Astyanax mexicanus: one gene and its partner. The protein of the gene in region 2 purifies or fractionates together with the protein of the main gene of each other region. This does not show direct contact. Links are inferred from orthologs where the notes say so. Each region holds a gene or a part of one and is shown on either strand. Other genes may lie near its edges. The genes, in order: dnajb11 and ptpro.

Region 1 (10,316 bases), on a different chromosome or scaffold from region 2:
TGAAACAGTATTTCTGTCATTTACATTTTTTATATTTTTATTAAGCTTAATTTGGGGGGAATCTTCTTAGTATTTTGTAGAGATATACCTTAAATGGACTTTAAGGTACACCATATCTTAAGATCTTATGATCTTATGATCCTGCTTATTTTAAGGTACTTTCACTAGTGAAATAAACCGCAAACCTTCTCAGACGTACATGCAGTCGTGAGAAACGCGTTTGTAGCAGAGATAGTAGTAACCAGAACAAAAACCACAAGCCGCTGCAGTGTTTATCCGCGTTCAGTCGTAGTGAAGACTCTTGAAGTTAAAGCGCTTTCTGTCTGTGAAGCCCGTCAACTACAGAAAAGAAAGGAAAAGTTAATAAACAAGTAAGAAATTATGTAAAGCAAGAAAGTAAAAAACAACACATGAAAGAACAGTGGGAAAACCGGGGTTCATACTACACTTTTTAACCAATAAATTGCTTTTTTTTTTTTTTTTTTCAGGACTGTTTCATGTCTTCAAGGCAAAATTTCATGACCATACGACCTTTAGAACATCAGTTCAGACATAGACAATAAAAAAAAAAAAAAAAAAACTGAAACTATAATGATAAAAAATATTCTTTAAGCAATGATGACACAATTTTCAATAATAAAATTAATAAAATATTACTAACTTCATAATATTATTAATAAAATAGCTTTTCTCCGTTGATAAATGATAACACAATTGTAGATTGCAAATTTCCATGAGTATTTTTAATTTTCCCAAACTTCTTCAGGCCTGAAAATTGCTATTTTTAAATTTAATGAGCGTAGAAACCCTGAAAAACACACTGCTAATAGTGACTAAACTAAAATTAAATCAGAATAAAAAAAAAATACTTTTTTTCAAAAATAAAAAAAACAACGTTGTTGAAATGAGTAAAAAAAAGAGTTGAAGTGCTGCATTTGTGACCACAGTTTGCACAGGCCATGCAGCATCAAAGCCACAATCAGAACTATAAACAGGGTGGTTTTCTCACCTGGCTGGGGTCTCTGGTGAAGTATCTCTTCTCGATAACCTTTTAATCAGAAAGATAAAAGAACAAAATCAACCAAACCTTCACTTCTGAAGAAGTGAAAGAGAATTGACCACAAGGGTTTTTCATCATAATCTGCTAAAAGATCTACTAAATCTGCCGAATGTGGTCAAGTTCCTATTATTACTCATTTCTAAGAAATGTCTACACAACAGAATCTTTCACTCTACATAGCTGCACCTCCCCAACTACTTCTATTATAAGAGTTCTGAGAAGATATTTGCCTGTAAGCTACAGATGTATAAAAAAATCATAATACAATTTATAATTATTCAGCATTAAGCATTAAATACAGTTTAATACAGAAAAAGTATGTAAACCCTTTGGCATTACCTTAGAGATCTGCATAGCCTAGGGGTTCACATACTTTTCCCCCCCCCACTCACTGTGAATGTTAAAATGTTGCGTCAATAAAACCATGCAAACATATATATATATATATATATATATATATATATATATATATATATATATATATATATATATATATATATATATATATATATTTTTTTTTTTTTGTGTGTGGTTTTAGTTTAAGCAGACAATGTTTGTCTATTGTTGTGACTTAGATGAAAATCAGAACACATTTAATGACCAATGTATGCAAAAATCCGAGTATTCACAAAGGGTTTACATATTTTTTTTCTTGCATCTGTATATTTATTGCTAGTATCAGCTCATTAAACAACATTCTGCCGATCAATTCTTCAAATTTAGAAAAAAATTGAATATATGGACAAAAGTATTGGGACACCTGGTCAATCACTGGTCAATCTCTTCTGAAATTAGGGTGAATAAAAGGAGTTAATACTGTTTATACTGAAGTAACTGTCACTACTAATGTTAGGCTTGGTGCTGCTAAAAGGTTCACATTCATCTGCAAACAACCACTGCAACTATGGTAGATTATATTCCAGTACATACTAATATTATGAAGCATTAGAAGAAGTAAAGAGAATAAACAGTAAAGATGTTTGATTATTAATTAGTTTGATAAATAAATTAAAATCCAAAGCTGTTTTCTATGTATCTATATAGAAGTATCTTACTTTGTCAAAAAATCTGCTCAGTTTCACAGCATTAGATGAGCCAGCAGCAAAATAACGTGGATTTGTGGAGTCCTAAAGGTATAAATAGAAGAAAAAAAACAGTATCATTAATAGATAATCAGAAATTACTATTCAAATAGAGATGAAAGTGTAAGAAATACATTTTATTATTCTTTTTTTACAAGGTAGAACATTTTACATTGTGAAGAGCTAATTAACATAATTCTTATACATTATAATCACATACCAGGTTGATCTCCTCTGCGTTGAAGTCTTCAGACAGGAAGGCGGTGCGGGTCAGAACATCACTGCGCTTGTTTTCAGGTATCTGATCATATTTGGTGCCGATAATCAGGAGAGGAATGGGGTTCTCTGCAAACTGCTCTCTGTCATAATCCCTGTGTGATCACATAATAAATAAATAAAACAAGGCATAACATTTATTCTTAGGTAATCATCCTGCAGTATTTTTCTCTAAAGTGTGGATTTTTGCATCAAAACAGGCCCAAACTCAGTCCTTCTTAACTACCCTTCAGAACGGTGCCATGTACATGGCAGAGGGAGTGGGGGAGAAACCAAACACAGATTAAATGAAATCAAGTGTTGAGCATGACTTACTACACCTTATATCAGATTACAAAGTGTAACGTAGGTGTTATAAAATGGCCAGTTAGTATACTAAGTGTTTTAAACCACAGCGGCACATGTTGTGTTTGATACACTTAACACTTACTACACCACCACCAAATATCACATGGTCAATGGGGGCATAAGATGTAAGTATTAAGTAAATATCTAATAAAATTACAGAACAGTGCAGTCACTGTCACGCGATTTTACTAGATTTAAGACAAAGCAAATTGAAACTGTCATTTTTAAATGTTAAAAGTAATTTTGGATTATTTCTCTGTGTCCATACATTACAAAGAATTATGTAACAAAGTGAAGGGAACTAAAACACTGCCACATCATGCTTCTAAATGTGCACTAAAACTTCTACATTAGAATTTCTGTTCCCAGACATGTTATACATACATTACAAGCCTAAACACTGAGTTATTCACACAGATAATCATTTCAGCCTTTACACCTAAACTGATAGTGTCTTACCCATTGGACACGATCACCCCTGTAGGCGACGAGTCTTTGTTTAGTGCCTCCATCGACCAGCGATACAGGTTCTGGGAGGATTTCTTATTGGTCAGGTCATGGACTAGAATTATGCCTGAGGAAAAAAAAAACGACATTCCCATATTTTACCAGCGATATTAAAGAATACAGGCATTTTCACTAGAGGTGGCCACAACTCAATGACCCAACATGACACAATATTACTAACAATACACAATGTATATCCAGTAAGTAATAAAGTAAAGTAAAGTAATAAAGAAAACATTAAATGAGAAGAGGTGCATCCAAAATGTTGTATATCTGCACTCTCCAGTGCTTCATTTTTGTTACTTTACCATTAACTGAATTGTAGAAAACCGCTCTGGTACTTTTGACACTACTGGCACTTCCAACTGAACCTCCAACATCCCACAGTTCAATGTAATAGGTCTTCTCCTCTGGCGTGCCCTCTTTATAGTCGTGAACCTGCAGGGTGAGGTTAGTATAAATTTAATCTGTATGATCAATTTTAAATCAGTATTTTCTAACTGTGGAAAAAATTAAGAGACCACTTCAATTTCTAAATTAGTTTCTCTGATTTGGCTATTTTTAGGTTTATGTTTAAGTAAAATGAACATTGTTGTTTTATTCTATAAACTACACACAACATTTCTCCCAAATTCCAAATGAAAATATTGTTATTTAGAGCATTTATTTACAGAAAATGAGAAATGGCTGAAATAAAAAAAAAGATGCTGAGCTTTCAGACCTCAAATAATGCAAAGAAAAAAGTTAATATTCATAAAGTTTTAAGAGTTCAGAAATCCATATTTCTGAATATCAATATGTCAGGTTCTCCTCCACCAGTCTTACACACTGCTTTTGGAGAACTTTATGCTGCTTTACTCCTGGTGCAAAAATTCAAGCAGTTCTGTTTGGTTTGATCTTGTGCCCATCCATCTTCCTCTTGATTATATTCCAGAGGTTTTCAATTTGATAAAAATCAAAGAAACTCTAATTTTTAACTAATTTTTAAGTGATCTCATTATTTTTTATGAGCTGTATAAGTTAACCAAGTTGTCAACCTTACCCTGACGTCCACAGAGCAGCCTACTGTCCATGAAGGATTTCCCAGCACTTGATTTTGACACACCAGATGAACTAAAGAAGATTTCCCAACGCCTATAACCAAACAGTAAGATTAAAGCCGATGTAAATTGGCGAATAAACAATTAATTAAACATTTTAACTCCCTGCCAGAGCTAGCTAAACATTAGCTAGGTTGGCTTGTCAACCTGCAAGTGTTTACTCAGTGCTAGCTTAAAGTATCACTAGAGCAGTTTAAAAGAGCCGACAGATTAAAAACAAGACATAAAACACGGCGTGAATCATATATAAACAATTATAGTGTAACATTAACAGCTGTGTCTCACCAGAATCTCCCAACACCAGCACTTTTACTCTGTCCAGAGAAGCCATTATTAGCTAGCGTTAGCTAACCTTACCTAGCTACTGTCTGTCACTAGCGACGCCGAGAAAGCACACAGCACTACTTCCTGTTAGAAAATCAGGCAAAATAAAAGTCGAATTACCTCAGCATAAGATAAAAAAAAATATTAATTCCACTAATACTAACTTTATTTATTTATTACTTTGCAAACATAACCCAGAGTGCAGCTCAAATTGCAAACAAATGTTACCTTTCATTTTGAAAAAAAAGAAATAAAAGAAAACGTTAAATAAAATAAACATATTTTATTTAAAATAAACAGTTCAAAATTTTTTTTTATTTTTATTTTTTTAACTTAATGTTAATAATCTACTTGTTATTAGAATACTTACGAATATTTTTACTGTGACGTATATCTTGATAAAAAAAAAACACTGGAATATAATCAAGAGGAAGATCACAACTGAACTGCTTGACTTTTTTTTCTTTTCAGCAGGAGTGGCACAACATCACCCAAAAGCTGTGTGAAAAACAGGTGGAGGAGAACATGCAAAGATGATTAAAAATAAGGGTTATTCCACCAAATATTGATTGATTTCTGAACTGTTTCTGAGTTAAAACATTAGTAATATTGTATTTTTATACATATGACCTTGATTTTTTTTTTCATTGTTTGAGATTGTACGAAACTACTGCATATTTTCTGTTGTTTTGCAAATAAATGTTCTAAACGACAATATTGAAATGTTATCAGTTGTTTATACAATAAAAGAACAATATTCATGTTACTTAAAGATATAGTTAGGAATTGTCAAATCAGAGAAACTTATCATTTTTTAATTTCATTGAATTTCATGTCATTCTTTTTATTTTTTCTTTACCGGAGCTTTATTTATAATTATTTTGAAATGTTCTTGGAGACTTTGATTTTTCTATTTTATTATATTTTTTACTTCATAGTAATAATCAAATTGTTATGAAAATAGCGTTATATAGCTAGTATTATATATATACTTTCTGTGTAATTGCATATTTAAACCGTTAATTTGAAATGCCTGGCCTTTAAGGGACTTTTATTTTTTCTTTCTTTGCAGCCGGTAAGAAAATTGGGGGCGTGTCTTTCTCCTAGAACAGGAAGCGGTCACTGCACTACACAACACACAGAAAGCCGGTGTGTTTTACTGCGCTTCGGGATTAAAGCGAGACCTATGGCCGCGGGAGGGATGAAACTATCGAGTATATGCTGTCTGCTCTTATATTTAGTAGCGACAGTACTGGCTGGGTAGGTGGCAGCGCTGTTTTCTCTGTGTATTTAGTTTCTCCGCTGTGTGAAGCGGGTCTCTGGGCTGGTACACATGTTCTTCTGTGATTGGTCTGCGCCGCTCCACTCTCTGGAGCTACATGTGTGCTGTAGTGGAGGGCTATCAAATGTACCTATTTAACTACGCAGAGGGACGTTTGTCTTGATTTAAGAATAAAATAAATAACCTTAATGCTGTAGCTGTATTTAGATTATCGTTAGGTATTTGGAGAGGTTACATATAAAACTGATAACCTAGATAAGATACACCATCTGTATTTAGCCATTGTCTCTCATTCTTTCAAATTTCTTAGATTTTCTTTTTTTACTGGATAGAAGTCACAATGATCGCCTTATAATTAAAATTATACAGCTAGCTTATTATATAACCTAAATTCCTAATCACACTTTTGTTGCAAATATTTTATCCATTCAGGAGGGATTTCTACAAGATTCTTGGGGTTAGCAAATCAGCATCTATCAAAGACATCAAGAAAGCCTACAGAAAGTTGGCACTTCAGCTTCATCCTGACCGAAACCCTGATGACCCCAGTGCCCAGGACAAATTTGCAGATCTCGGAGCTGCTTATGAGGTGTGTTGTTGGTCTCTGTTTCTATTTCCACACACAGCTGAAAAGCTGGAAGTGTGATTTTTAATATAAATTATACTGTTTATTATTATTTATTAGCTTAATATAAAGTTCTTCAAATTTGAGCAGCTAAACATGTGTATATATATATAAAAAATTTTTTTATTTGTTTGTTTGTTTGTGTGTCACTGTAATATAATATCCAAGGCTTTAGCTGTATGTATGACAGGCATCATTTCAGTGTTGGGGAAACCACGGATGAATCTGATTGGTGGAGTGAAATGTGTGGCTACGTCTGATTGGTCAAAAGTCAGCTGACTGGTAGTATTGAAAACACGACGTGGAGCTGCTCTGGCGGTAGATTAGTTAACAGTTGCAGTTTTCTCAGGCGCTTTTGATTCATTTTTCAGATAAAAATAAGGTTCTCAAAACTAAAAAAAAAAGCACAGGAAGTAATAAATGGTTGTGTTGGTAGATTATTCCTATTATTTCTTTGTTTTAATCATGCTTCATGAAAATAAATCCAAATATACTAATATGCTCTCAAATACATTAACCCCTGTTTTCTTCTATCTTCTGTGTTTTTGCGCTTTTTTGCACAAATTGAGATATGTTCTCTATCAGAATAGACATTTGTCAAACAATCAAACAGCAGATTAGCACCGCCCACAAAAATAGACAGCACAATACAGTGTTACAGTTTCTGACAATTTCTGTATCGCAGTGACACGGCTAATCAAATTACAGTACAAATAATACAGCATAATTTTTAACTGTGTACAGACAGTAAGCCTTTTTCTTGCTCAGCACTGATCTCTCCAATCATTAAAGGAACATCAGAAGGCAATTAAACTAATCAGGAACAGATTGAAACCAGATTAGGTTAAAGCCACTGTCCTCTTTATTGTCTTGATGAATTATTATATTCTGATACCACTTAATGAATGACTTGTGTAATCTGAACTCAGGTGCTGTCAGACGAGGAGAAAAGGAAACAGTATGATGCCTATGGAGAGGAGGGTCTGAAGGAAGGTCATCATAGCTCGCATGGTGATATCTTTTCCAGGTAAGTGTCCAAGCAATATTATATTATTAAAGGGGTGACATTTTTTAAATTCCCTTTTATTTTAGTACATGCGGTTAAACTGCACATGTATTTATTGTGTAACAGAAAGTTAGAGACCTACCTGGCTGTTCTAGACAGCTTTAGGAAGAGCTCAGCTATAGTACTTTTTTTTTTAATGAGGATATAGTGTATGTGTTCATACAGTTGTCCAGTAGTATTACACTGCACTTTTTTGCCCCCACTGTCACTATGTATATGACTATCATGACACTCACATTTCTTCTATGTTTGTTGCAGCTTCTTTGGGGACTTTGGGTTTATGTTTGGAGGAAACAGGCAGCAGCAGGACCGGAACATCCCAAGAGGAAATGACATTATCCTGGACCTGGAAGTTACACTGGAGGAGGTTTATTCTGGAAATTTTGTTGAGGTAAGATAACCACTAATTCTCTGGTCTTAATAATTCCATAACTCCTTAATAAAGTGTTTTATATAAATATGTTTTATATAAATATGTTTTAAATTAAATCGTATTCTTATTTGAGCTGTGCAAAACATCACAGTAATCTGTTATTTACCACCATATTACCACCATATATATTTCACTGATTAGTTACAGACTACAGCTACTCGATGCTTACCATTATGTGCCAATTTGGCAACCCGCATGAGTTTCACATCTGGGGAGGAGTGGGTAGGGCAGAAATCTCTACCCAGTGTTTGGAAATTGGACTTCTGTAACAATTTTACACACTCACTTGCATTTATAACTGATTTTTCCTTTAATACATTTCGTGTCATATCCTCTGGTTCAGCATGGGAAGGATGCTGTTCTTCCTTGTTTCTTATTGTCACATATTTCCTCTCTTCACATTTCCCTCTTTTACTATGTAGGTAGTGCGAAACAAGCCAATTGCTAAAGAGGCACCAGGAAAAAGGAAATGCAACTGTCGCCAGGAAATGAGAACTACACAGCTCGGGCCAGGCCGCTTCCAGATGACCCAGGAAGTAGTCTGTGATGAATGCCCAAACATTAAGTAAGTTCTGCTTCCACTTTCCTCAAATAATAATGATGTAACTTGCTAATAGATGATAAATGGTGCGCACATGTTTACAGTGTGTTTTTACTCTTTGCAGGCTTGTGAATGAAGAGAGGACACTAGAGGTGGAGATTGAGCAGGGAGTCAGAGATGAGATGGAATATCCCTTCATTGGTGAAGGTATTTTAACCGCAGTGAAACTAATGATTTTATTATACAAAGTTCTAGAATGCAGGTATTGGTATGTGGTTAAAAATATATCTGAGAACAGCAATATATGTTTGGTCATTTGTGTGCAGGGGAGCCACACATTGACGGAGAGCCTGGAGATCTCCGCTTCCGTATCAAAGTCTTAAAGTAAGGATTGGTTATTTCAGTTAATTTTTTTATGATAATGACTGGATCAATTTATTACTAGCAACTATTGAAACATTCCATGTCAGTGAAAACTGAATTTAAATAGAATCATTTATGCCTTTTGGGCTCACTAGGTTTGTATGTAGTTTGGATTGCACTGTATTGCATGCATGAGTGTGGGGTTTCCTGCATTGAATAGGGATCAGATTTTTTTGCTAGAGGGGGTTGTCTGTACCTAGAACTTAGGGGACTGTAAAAGAAAGGTTTACCAATAATTGCTGAAGAGTGGGAAATCTTAATGCATCTACTTATTCAATATCTTTTTCTCTGCAGACATCCGCTGTTTGAGCGCAGAGGTGATGACCTGTACACTAACGTCACCATCAGTCTGGTTGAGGCTCTGGTTGGATTTGAAATGCAGATCACGCATTTAGACGGTCACAAGGCAAGTATTATTATCTCTATTTTAGCTCATCCCATGTTTAAGTTTTCTGACATTTTTAAGTTTATTATTTAAATCAAGGCGCAGAAATTTAGTTTTGTGTGCAGGCCAGATATTTTCCAAGCGGGCCACAAAAAAAAAAAAGAAAAATGAAGTGTAATGAAATGTAATGGGATAAAGTCATACAGACTAGTAGCTCTTCAGCCCAGAGGGTTGTTGAACCCAATTGCAGAACAGTTGATCTCAAAGCAGGTAAACCGAAGAAGAAAAGGAAAAAAAAAAAAACACAGCTCCTCAAGCTGGATTGGACCTATGTCATTAGGGTCGAGGTCCAATACACCACCGCTGCCCCGGCTAGTGAATTGAGACACAACCAGAAAAAACACCCCCAAAAAGGGGCAGAAAAACGAGAATGTGTGGAAACTACAGTCACACCGAGCGAGACAGAGAGACAGGGGAGGGATGTGAACAAAAGCTCACCAGAGAGGCATTTTATTTTATTTATTTATTTATTTATTTATTTATTTTCATTATCGTTCATTTATAGTTAAAACAAACTCACAGGCAAACTGTTTCATGCTTGCCTATTGCAGACCCCTGATTTACATCATACTGTTGTGTTGCAGGTTCATATCGCCAGGGATAAAATCACCAAACCTGGATCCAGATTGTGGAAGAAGGGTGAAGGGCTTCCCAACTTTGACAACAACAATATCCGCGGATCACTTATAATAACATTTGATGTGGATTTCCCCAAGGAACAGCTTGATGATCAGCAGAAAGATGGTACGAGAAGAGCAGGTTTTATTTGTGTAGATTCTGAAATAATTAATTTTTCTATTTACT
Region 2 (9,587 bases):
CATTGGAATTGGAATATGTTTTTTAAAATATATATCCTAAATAAATAAAACAATTATCATAAAATATTTTTAAACAAAGTCGATATACCTGCTTATTTACATTAATAGGCAATGCTGAGGTCAACTAAATGTATTATTCTTTAGAACTGCTCATATTTTTTATTGAAAGATAAGTGCAATTATTGTGACAAAACTAGCTGACCCCAAGTGCAACACAGTTATCAACACAGCAATACAGGCTATCAAACCCCAGCCAATTTCTATAATATTTTTTGGGCTGGTTCTTTTTTGCAGTCATACTGAAACTCCATATTCAGTTCCCTTTTTTTCTTTTCAGTCATCACACTGTTTAATGTCCAGCCAGCAGCTCATTTTTTACCTAAAACAAATTTGGATGTTTCTGACTCTATAGCTGACTTATATTGAGGCAGCTCATTCGAAAGCACACACACTGGATTTCAAATGTTGTGTAGGTGTGTATGTTTGTATACTGGCTGCATATCTCAAACTGGTCAATACAACAATTATCTTTTGATTAAAACAGAATTATAATCAAAAGATGACCTTATTTTCAAAAATCATACAGTTAAAGATATCACATTCCTTTAGAAAAGAGCCTAAAGCAGAAGTACAATAAAGTATAATTCTGTGAGATTCCAAGGCTGTACTGCATGCACTGCTAATTTAAGATCTATCCACAGATTTTTGACTATGATTAAATTGGAGGGCTGTGAGGATTGTGGCAGTTTCTTCAGCTTGCACCTCTTGAGGCAGTCTATTATGGATTTGAAGGTGTGTTCAGTATGATTACTCTGTCATAGAAGAATTCCTCTCAGTATCTTAATTTTTTTACACATAATATGAATTTTGCTTCCAGAAATAGCTGTTATTTTACTGATTCCGACTTTCCTCTGCCAGTGGAATGTTCCCTGCTCTACTGTCTGCATCTTTTTTCATGAAATTTGGTAACCTGCTGTTATATTTGTGCATGTCTTTTGAAGTCAAATGGTCACTTTGCCTTGTTAGCATTTCTTAACCCATTTTACTTTAAATATGTATTCTATTATTACTATTATGCTTGAAAGATTATAAATCTACATTCAAAGCAATGCAAACTGTTAAAACAACCGAGAACCACCAGTGGTTCCAATGAATTAGGTTAATTCCATTACAAATCGAAGAAAGGGCTACCTGAAAACCCTTGCTATCTACTTATAGATTTCTACTGCTTTGTGAGCATCACTTATTTTAATTTTCAGAGATATGGATAGCTGCTTACAGACTTCATGACTGCAGATTGTTGAGAAAAGTTTTGAGGAGTCTTTTAACTTTAAGACTTTTGTAGATCCATTTCTCTTAAACTTGCTTTACTTGCTATTGTGACAACTCTTCATTGTTTGTCCAAAACAAGAGTATTAGAAGAGTTTATGGCTCTCTTGTTAGAGTGACTATCTCTACTTTTAACTACATTTTGGAGCATTGCTGTGAGAGAATGTTGATCAGATTCAGTGATTTGACAAGAGCTTTAGAGAGGTCAGGATGTTGAATGATTACGACACCACCTCATCCCTACTCCCCAACTCATCCTGAAAGTATTGGATGTAACTCCATTCCTCCAAAGAACACAGTTTCACTGGTCCACAGATCAATGCAGGGGGCTTTAACAACCCTCAAGCCCACAGGAGCTGAATGAATTTATTAGAAGGAGTGTCCACAAACATTTTGATATACAGCTCTGAAAAAAAATAAGAGACCACTTAAAAATTATTTTCTTTGATTCTACCAAATAAAATAAAAAAGCTGGAATATAATCAAAAGGAAGATGGATGATCACAAGCTGAACTGCTTGGATTTTTTCACCAGGAGTGGAATAAAGTTATCCAAAAGCAATGTCTAAGACTGGTGGAGGACACATGCCAAGATGCATGAAAACTGTATAGAGGGGTTGGACAATGAAACTAAACACTTGGTTTTAGACCACAATAATTTATTGTCCAGACGGACAATTCTGGTGGAAACAGGAGAGTTGAGGTGCACATTGAATTCTGCCGTGATTTGATCAGACGTGGTTTTATGTTTTTTGGATACAATCCGGGTTAGCACCCGAACATTCCTTTCAGACAGCTTCCTCTTGCATCCACAGTTAATCCTGTTGGATGTGGTTCGTCCTTCTTAGTGGTATGCTGACACTACCCTGGATACCGTGGCTCTTGATACATCAAAAAGACTTGCTGTCTTGGTCACACCTGCACCAGCAAGAAGTGCACCAACAATTTGTCCTCTTTTGAACTCTGGTATGTCACCCATAATGTTGTGTGAATTGCAATATTTTGAGCAAAACTGTGCTCACCCTGCTAATTGAACCTTCAGACTCTGCTCTTACTGGTGCAATGTGCAATTAATGAAGATTGGCTACCAGGCTGATCCAATTAACCATGAAACCTCCCACAAGTAGCTATTGAGCTGATGTGAGCCTTTTACATATTACAAAATGATAAACAAAATTCAATATCAGTTAATATACAGCTCTGGAAAAAAATCATTTTATCTGATTTTGCTATTCATAGGTATATGTTTGAGTAAAAGTAACATTGTTGTTTCATTCTATAAACTACAGACATTTTTCCCAAATTCCAAATAAAAATATTGTCATTTAGAGCATTTATGTGCAGAAAATGAAAAATGAAATGACAAAAAAGAAAATTCCGGTGGAATAACCTTGGATTTTACTCACAGTTTTCATGCATTTTGGTTTAATGGCTGTGATCATCTAGCTCCCTCTTGACTATATTCCAGATGTTCTCAAATTGGTAAAACCAAAGAAACTCATCATTTTAAGTGGACTTTTATTTTTCCAGAGCTGTATTTTAAGAAGATAAAGTGAATATTTATTACACATAATAATAAATATGTCCTGTCCTATATTTTACCCTCCTAAATTCCTCTTTGTTTAATCTTTTATCTGACATAAATTGAAAGCACTGACGGTGTCAATGTGAATAACAGAACACTTAATCTGAACCAGTAAATTAATCTGAACCAGAGTTTGATTGAAATGTGTTTAAAACCCGATTTAAACTGATGAGTTATTTGAGCTCGGGCTCAGTGAGCACTGCAGCACAGTGAGCTGTGTTGTTCTGTTGTGTGTAAAATGTGTGCTGGGCCTTTTTTAATCTCTGCAGCTGAAGCAGTTCAGTAAACAGTGAGCTGGACAGCATCTTTCTCAGGGTTCAGAGCTGAGGCTGCTAAGCAGCTGATAAAGAAATGCTCCCAAATAAAAAACATTTACAGCCTGGCTCTGCTCTGCCGCTTCCAGACTGCTCTCAGATCCCCAGACCGGCGCTGGACTCTGCAGTGGCAGGAGCAGATCCTCAGGCACAGAGCTTCAGCTGGAATGACCCAATTTTGCCTCAAGAAACATCAGCCTATGGGGAGCCGCACGGAGAGAGGCAAATACGATCAGCTCCAGAGCTCCGGAGCGGCGGCTGGAGATGGAGGAGATGGAGAAGAAGCGGTCGATTTCGCTTCGGGGAGGATTAATTAAGAAGATAAGCGAGTTTAATAATAATAAGGGATGTGGAGTGAACCGCCTGCCCGCTGCTGCTGCTGCCGCTGATGGTGAAGTAGGCAGACAGGGCATATGGCTCCCCCTCCTCCCCCACACTGTATCAGAAAGGGGGTGGGGGGTAATATCGCTGGGGTAAAAGACTGTATCCTACCTGGATGCTGAGGAGGAGGAGGAGAAGGAGGGCATGAGTCGGTGCTGCAGTCATCCTCGCTCCGCTCTGCGTCCAAACGCTGTTCCTCTGCTGCTGCTGCTGCTGCTGCTGCTCGATTCCCCGCGCCGCGCACATCCGAACAATGGCGAATTTTCTGCAGCATCAGACCGCTCGCTCCCCCGACCCCGGTGGTCCTCCAGCGCTAACCCCCACCACCGCCGCCGCCTCCGCGCGGTCTGCCCGACGCCCTTACGGCTCCCTCTGACTGTGTACCGCCGCTGAACAGCTCCTACATCCGTCCATGTGCTTCTTCTGGGTCCGACCGAGGAGGCAGCTCCAACCACGGACCACCAGCTTCAGGAGAGCAGACGGGCTGAATGGCTTTCTCTGTCTGCCCCTCTCTCTCTCTCTCTTTCTCTCTCACAAACACACACACACACACACACACACATTCACATACACATACACACTGACTCTCTCTCTCTCTCTCTCTCTCTCTCTCTCTCTCTCGCTCTCCTCCAGGCCCCGCCCTTCTCGCTGATTGGCAGGAGGGCGGCTAGAGACGGGAATGTCGATTCAGTACAGCTGAACCGATTCTATAGAACAGCTCGCTTAAATAAAACGGATCGAAACTGTTCGAACCATAACGTTTAAACGTCCCATATGATCAACTTTTAAACACATGTTTGTTAATTATACAGTAATTAAGGTTCGTTTGGCCTTATATACAGAACCAGTCAAAACTTTAGACACACCTCTTTCCAGTCTACGTCTTTTTTCCCTTTTTATAATTTAAAAAATGTTTTATAACATTTTATTCTAAAATATAGAAATAAAGAAAAACATTGAATGAGAAGGAGAACTTTTGACTGGTAAAAATACATAACCATTTTAACCTTTTCATTCATCTTTTTCTTATAGACTTATAGACTGCTGTGGTACGCTCTCTTTGAGCGTGATATATGTGAATTAGCTGTGCTGCATTTCATTTGTCTTAAAAAAACTGTAAAAACATTTTTTTACAACTACAGCATCTTAAAAACTACAAGATGAACTAAATACGCATTATTAAATGAACGTAAATATGCGGGGCTAGCTATCAGTTTAGACTGTTTTTAAATAAACTTAGGGTTGTGCAATGTGCAATTAATGAAGATTGGCCACCAGGCTGCTCCAATTAGCCATGAAACCTCCCACACGATATTAGTGCTAAAAAAGAAAACACTGAAAGTAGCTATCACTTGATCATCAGTCAAGTCACCATTTTAATTTAACACTGCACAGAGTATGAGTGTAACTGTAAACTGAAAATATTCCACTATCTCAGTGTGTTTCGCTGTGATTAAGTAAAAGGGTGAAGGGTTGTTATTAGAGGTGTGTTACACGTGGACAGCGTGTGGACAAAGCAAGAAAGATGGATTCAGTCATCCGATTCATCGTAAAGAATCGGTTCAATAGAAAGATTCGTTCAGAAGCCGGACCTCCAGAGTGAGGGGAGGAGAAATGGTGGTGGGGGAGGTTTAGTGGGACAGAGGGTCGACCACATGCTTTTCTTCTCGTGGCTAAAGGCTAACTCAGGCTGTGTGTTTTCAGGTTTCTTTTACTTGTACAAATCTACAGCTCCATGTTGATAAAATCGCGGAGAAGAGTAAAGAGAAACAGAGAGCAGGAGCCGTGTATTACTTTCAGCACCATGCTGCTTCACTAACTCAACATAATAGCTCATCTCAGCGCCTACACGATACAAGGCATATTCAGCCGAATCGGTGCTGTTTCTGTCCTCAGGAAATTACATATATACATGTGCACACAAAATAACTTATATATACATTTTTTAATTAATCACAGTGTCTTGTTCACTGACCTGGTTGCAAAAGTGAGATATGTAATTAAAAAAATAACAACTAAGTTAAATAGCATTTGTTACACAGAAAAAATAGCATTTGTTACCTGTCTGCACTCTCTAACTAAACCAAGAAATATAATTGTAAAAATCTTTCAGATGTATTTTTTTGCATTGTTGTGTGACTGCAATTTTTTTCATGATAAATCCATAATATTTAAGTTAAAATACACATTTAAGTTGTGTCCCTGGGTTTTCACTCCTGTTACCATAACACATTACCCCATCTGAAACATCTGGAACATTCTATAAGTCACATCTACAACAGGAAGTTACATCAGTAGGTTCTTTTGAAGATCATGGGAAGACCAAAATTAGGTTCTCTCATTTGTTTTGCTGTATATTTAATATTATTGTAACTATGACTGAGGATGTCTCAATGTTCTGTCCTGTTACCTCCATTAATTCTTAGATCTTATTTATTTGTTTATTTTTAAAATAAAAATTTGGGGGAAATCACTAGAATGTGCTCAGTGTCCTCATGATATTAGCATAGCCGTCATTTAGCTGTTTTTCATGTTTTTGCTAATTCTATGCTAAAAACTTAGTCCTGTTACTTTCAGTCCTGTTACTCTTTATGTTTTGAGTAACGAGACGGAAAGTAACAGGAGTGAGTTTGAGTAACAGGAATAAGTGCCAGTAACATGAGTGAGTGCCAGTAACAGGACTGCGTGCCAGTAACAGGAGTGAGTTTCAGTAACAGTAGTGGGTACTGTCCCTTGGTTTATGCATTTATTAATGTAAATATTAGCTAGTGTAAACCGCTTCTTTCCAATTCTGTTTGGTTCATCATTCATTCATCTGTTTAATAAATTGCACAATAAATATAATAATAATAATAATAATAATAATAATAATAATAATAATAATAATAATAATAATAATAATAATAATAATTTGATTAAATTCAGGGTTGGGTCTTCTTGATAAGATAAAAATAGCTTTGCATATTTTAGAAGAAATACATAAAAAGTGATTATTTTCTCATAAATATCAATTATTTGAACATGCAGTCAACCATTTCTTTAAATTAAATACTTATTTGAGAAAAAATAAATGGAATTGATGTTTTTAAATGTCACATGAGTTTTGTAACCATATTTGGCTTAAAAACCTTGTTAAAATTAAGTAAAGCTGCCTGACATTGACCAGTACATATTTTGCATAGTTAAATATGTGTTATTAGATAAAAACAATTAGGTTAAGTTAAATTAAGTTACAGCAAGCAAATGGCACCCATTTGGTAAAATTGACCAAAAACAGTAAAAATATATTGGCCAGAGACACACCTAGAGAGCATCTGTTTTTGTCAACTTCACATTCAAACCAGTATTTGTGTATTAGTAGCCTCCCCTGAGCTTTACTGTTCACATCTTTACTGATCTTTGGCTCGTGAAAAACATTATCACTTAAAACTTAAAATTTTTAAGTAATGTTTACTGAAAACGTAGGCTAAAAAAATTCTAAATGATTATATAAAAAATATAAATTGCTTTACACAATAATTCTACTTTAACTTTTGTGGTTAGGTAAATAAAATAGATTTGTATCAAGTATTTTTTTATTTCATTGAACTAAAACAAAGATAAATACTCAGAAAATTAGATGGAGAAAGAAAATGCTATAGAGTGAACAGCGTTGCACACACGAGTTAGCAGCTCGGAAAATAAGACTTGCAAAAAGAACAAAAAGGCAAAGTAGTCAATAGTACAGACTAAACTCAGTAATTATAAGTTGATTCAACTCAAACATTGGAATGTATATGTGGCCACAAAGGTTCACCTAACTAAAAGAAGTTGAGTAAGGATTGGAAATATCCAATTTACATAAAACAGAATTCATTTATTTGAGTTCAAACTAATTGTGGGTTTACAGTGTATAGGCAGATAAACAGTAAATCAAATACCTTATGCATAAGAAAGAGTATAAAAATGAGTGTCGATGTAAAAATGTGTTAAAATAGAACATTTACATAATATAAAATTTGCTATGTGCAGATCTGAGGAAGCATACAATATATGATTATTAACAACATATTTACCACTATTTACCACTTAGTTCTGCAAATAAATGGGAAACATATTACAGTGTCCAGAAAATGCCATATTTAAATTTGACCTATTCTCAGGTTGTTGCATATGACCCTTTTTAAACAATAATGCAGGTTTGTTTTGTAATGATTGGGTTCTGAGAAGTGATCAGTTACATCATGTTATAATACAAGAAAATATTGTGATTGGATTCATGACACAAAACTAGTAATGAGAATCACATTCTATATTTTTGTAGCTTCAAAAATGAGTGGCTTTTAGTAAGATCTGAAAACCATGAAAAGGGTGATTGCATGTATGTGTACGTATGTACATAATGTGCACAATTTAAAACATTTAAAGTTTTTAAAAGTCACATTTTAATTCTAAAAACTCACCAGTGATCCCATGCTTAAATACATCACTTACATTTTAGTTTCATACTAGTTACTGAATAATTTATTACAGTTACTGAATAAGAAGCCTTAAAGTGAATAATTAAATAATATTCCTGCAGAGTAGAGCTCACTTAAATATCTTCACTGAGCTCATTTTTTCTATATTGAGTATCAAATATTGATGTTTTAACTTCAGACATTTTCTCAGTTCAGGGTCATATTTAGATTGATTTGTGGGGGCACACCCTGGACTAAAGTGTATCTAAATGCATAATCTTACCGCCACTTCCTCTATGCACTGCTAATGGACAGAATGCTTGAATGTGCATTAAAAGTGTCTAGGATTTAGATTTATGTGGGATCAAAACCAGCCTCTGGTTGACTTTTTGTGCTTTTTTGTAAAATCCAGTCAAAAATAATCCAGTCAAAATAGTATTAGAATTATGGCATACTGTTTGACACAAGTTGAAAACAAAATCCTTGGGTTCACAGCGTGCATTTACAGATTTCTACAGCATTTGCTCTACTCTTCTGTAAGTGTTTGATTCGGATTGCAGTACAAAATATAATTTTTAAATTATCAGATAAGTAGCATGACTGATAATGAGAGAATTTCCACTTGAAATTGTTCCTAATTCTAGTGTATTGTCTTGTAATTTCTATAGAGGTTAAGAACATGATAACAGAATTATGAAATGAGTAATAGCTATAGGTTTCTTGGTATCCCTACAACCAATGATCCAATGAGGTCCTCAACGCATCACACCAAAACAGGGCCCAACTACAACTTCACTTTCAGTCAGTCAGTCAGTCAGTCAGACAGTCAGACAAAACAGCACATGTGCAACTGTAACAGGTTCATGGAGGAGCCCATTCTAACTAGCTGCATTACACTGTAGTACAGCAGCACAATGCAAAGCTACCATGATGCAGAATTGTCAGAAGACGTCATTTATTCATTCAAATATTTTGCCTGTGAATTCTACACCCCTCTATAGCTGAAAAGTGTACAAACCCTGGTTTGGAACAAATGCCTTTTACTTAAATGATGCACAAAAATGAGTACATGTCTTCATTACATCAAGGCTAGACTATTGTAATGCACTACTGTCAGGATGTTCCAGCATTAATTTAAATAAACTTCAGCTAGGTCACTCAGGTTTTGGACGGTGGAGTTGTTGGATGCCTGTGTTTCATGGTGCCTCTGTGTTTATGTTACTTTCTGGCTTTCTGCCTTTAGTTAGGTTGTTTTACTCAGATCTGCCGGAGTCATTAGCCACACTCTGATAATGTTTCATATTTTCTGTTTTCCATAAATCCACTCAAAACTAATTTCATCTTTCTGCCTTTCTCCGAGTTACTGACTGCCCACCTGTTTGGCCAAAGGATGTTTGACCATTCCTGTGACCTGTGCTTCCAGACTGATGGAAGTCAGGCTTCCCCATCACCCACAAAGCAGCTTTATTCCACCCAGCTCAGACTAGTTGCTCACTCTCCACTACTGATTACATTGAAGTTTATATGAACACTAACTGGA

Evidence for each region.
Region 1: the proteins of ptpro (region 2) and dnajb11 purify together in Homo sapiens (affinity purification with mass spectrometry; 3 studies listed by BioGRID and IntAct, with this or other methods). This does not show direct contact. The link is inferred for Astyanax mexicanus from reciprocal best matches to the Homo sapiens genes PTPRO and DNAJB11.

The regions. Positions count from the first base shown.
Region 1 is NC_064418.1:3,061,350-3,071,665, forward strand, and holds the start of dnajb11 (dnaJ homolog subfamily B member 11), read left to right. Parts: upstream 1-5,801; 5' UTR 5,802-5,883; coding exon 5,884-5,957; intron 5,958-6,411; coding exon 6,412-6,568; intron 6,569-7,533; coding exon 7,534-7,631; intron 7,632-7,928; coding exon 7,929-8,061; intron 8,062-8,525; coding exon 8,526-8,668; intron 8,669-8,768; coding exon 8,769-8,851; intron 8,852-8,970; coding exon 8,971-9,028; intron 9,029-9,361; coding exon 9,362-9,473; intron 9,474-10,096; coding exon 10,097-10,256; intron 10,257-10,316. Other genes in the region: rabl3 (rab-like protein 3), read right to left, coding at 283-339, 1,010-1,048, 2,116-2,187, 2,363-2,513, 3,226-3,340, 3,582-3,711, 4,316-4,407, 4,659-4,704. UniProt on the Homo sapiens protein: As a co-chaperone for HSPA5 it is required for proper folding, trafficking or degradation of proteins.
Region 2 is NC_064409.1:31,043,647-31,053,233, forward strand, and holds the start of ptpro (receptor-type tyrosine-protein phosphatase O), read right to left. Parts: upstream 4,116-9,587; 5' UTR 3,855-4,115; coding exon 3,720-3,854; intron 1-3,719.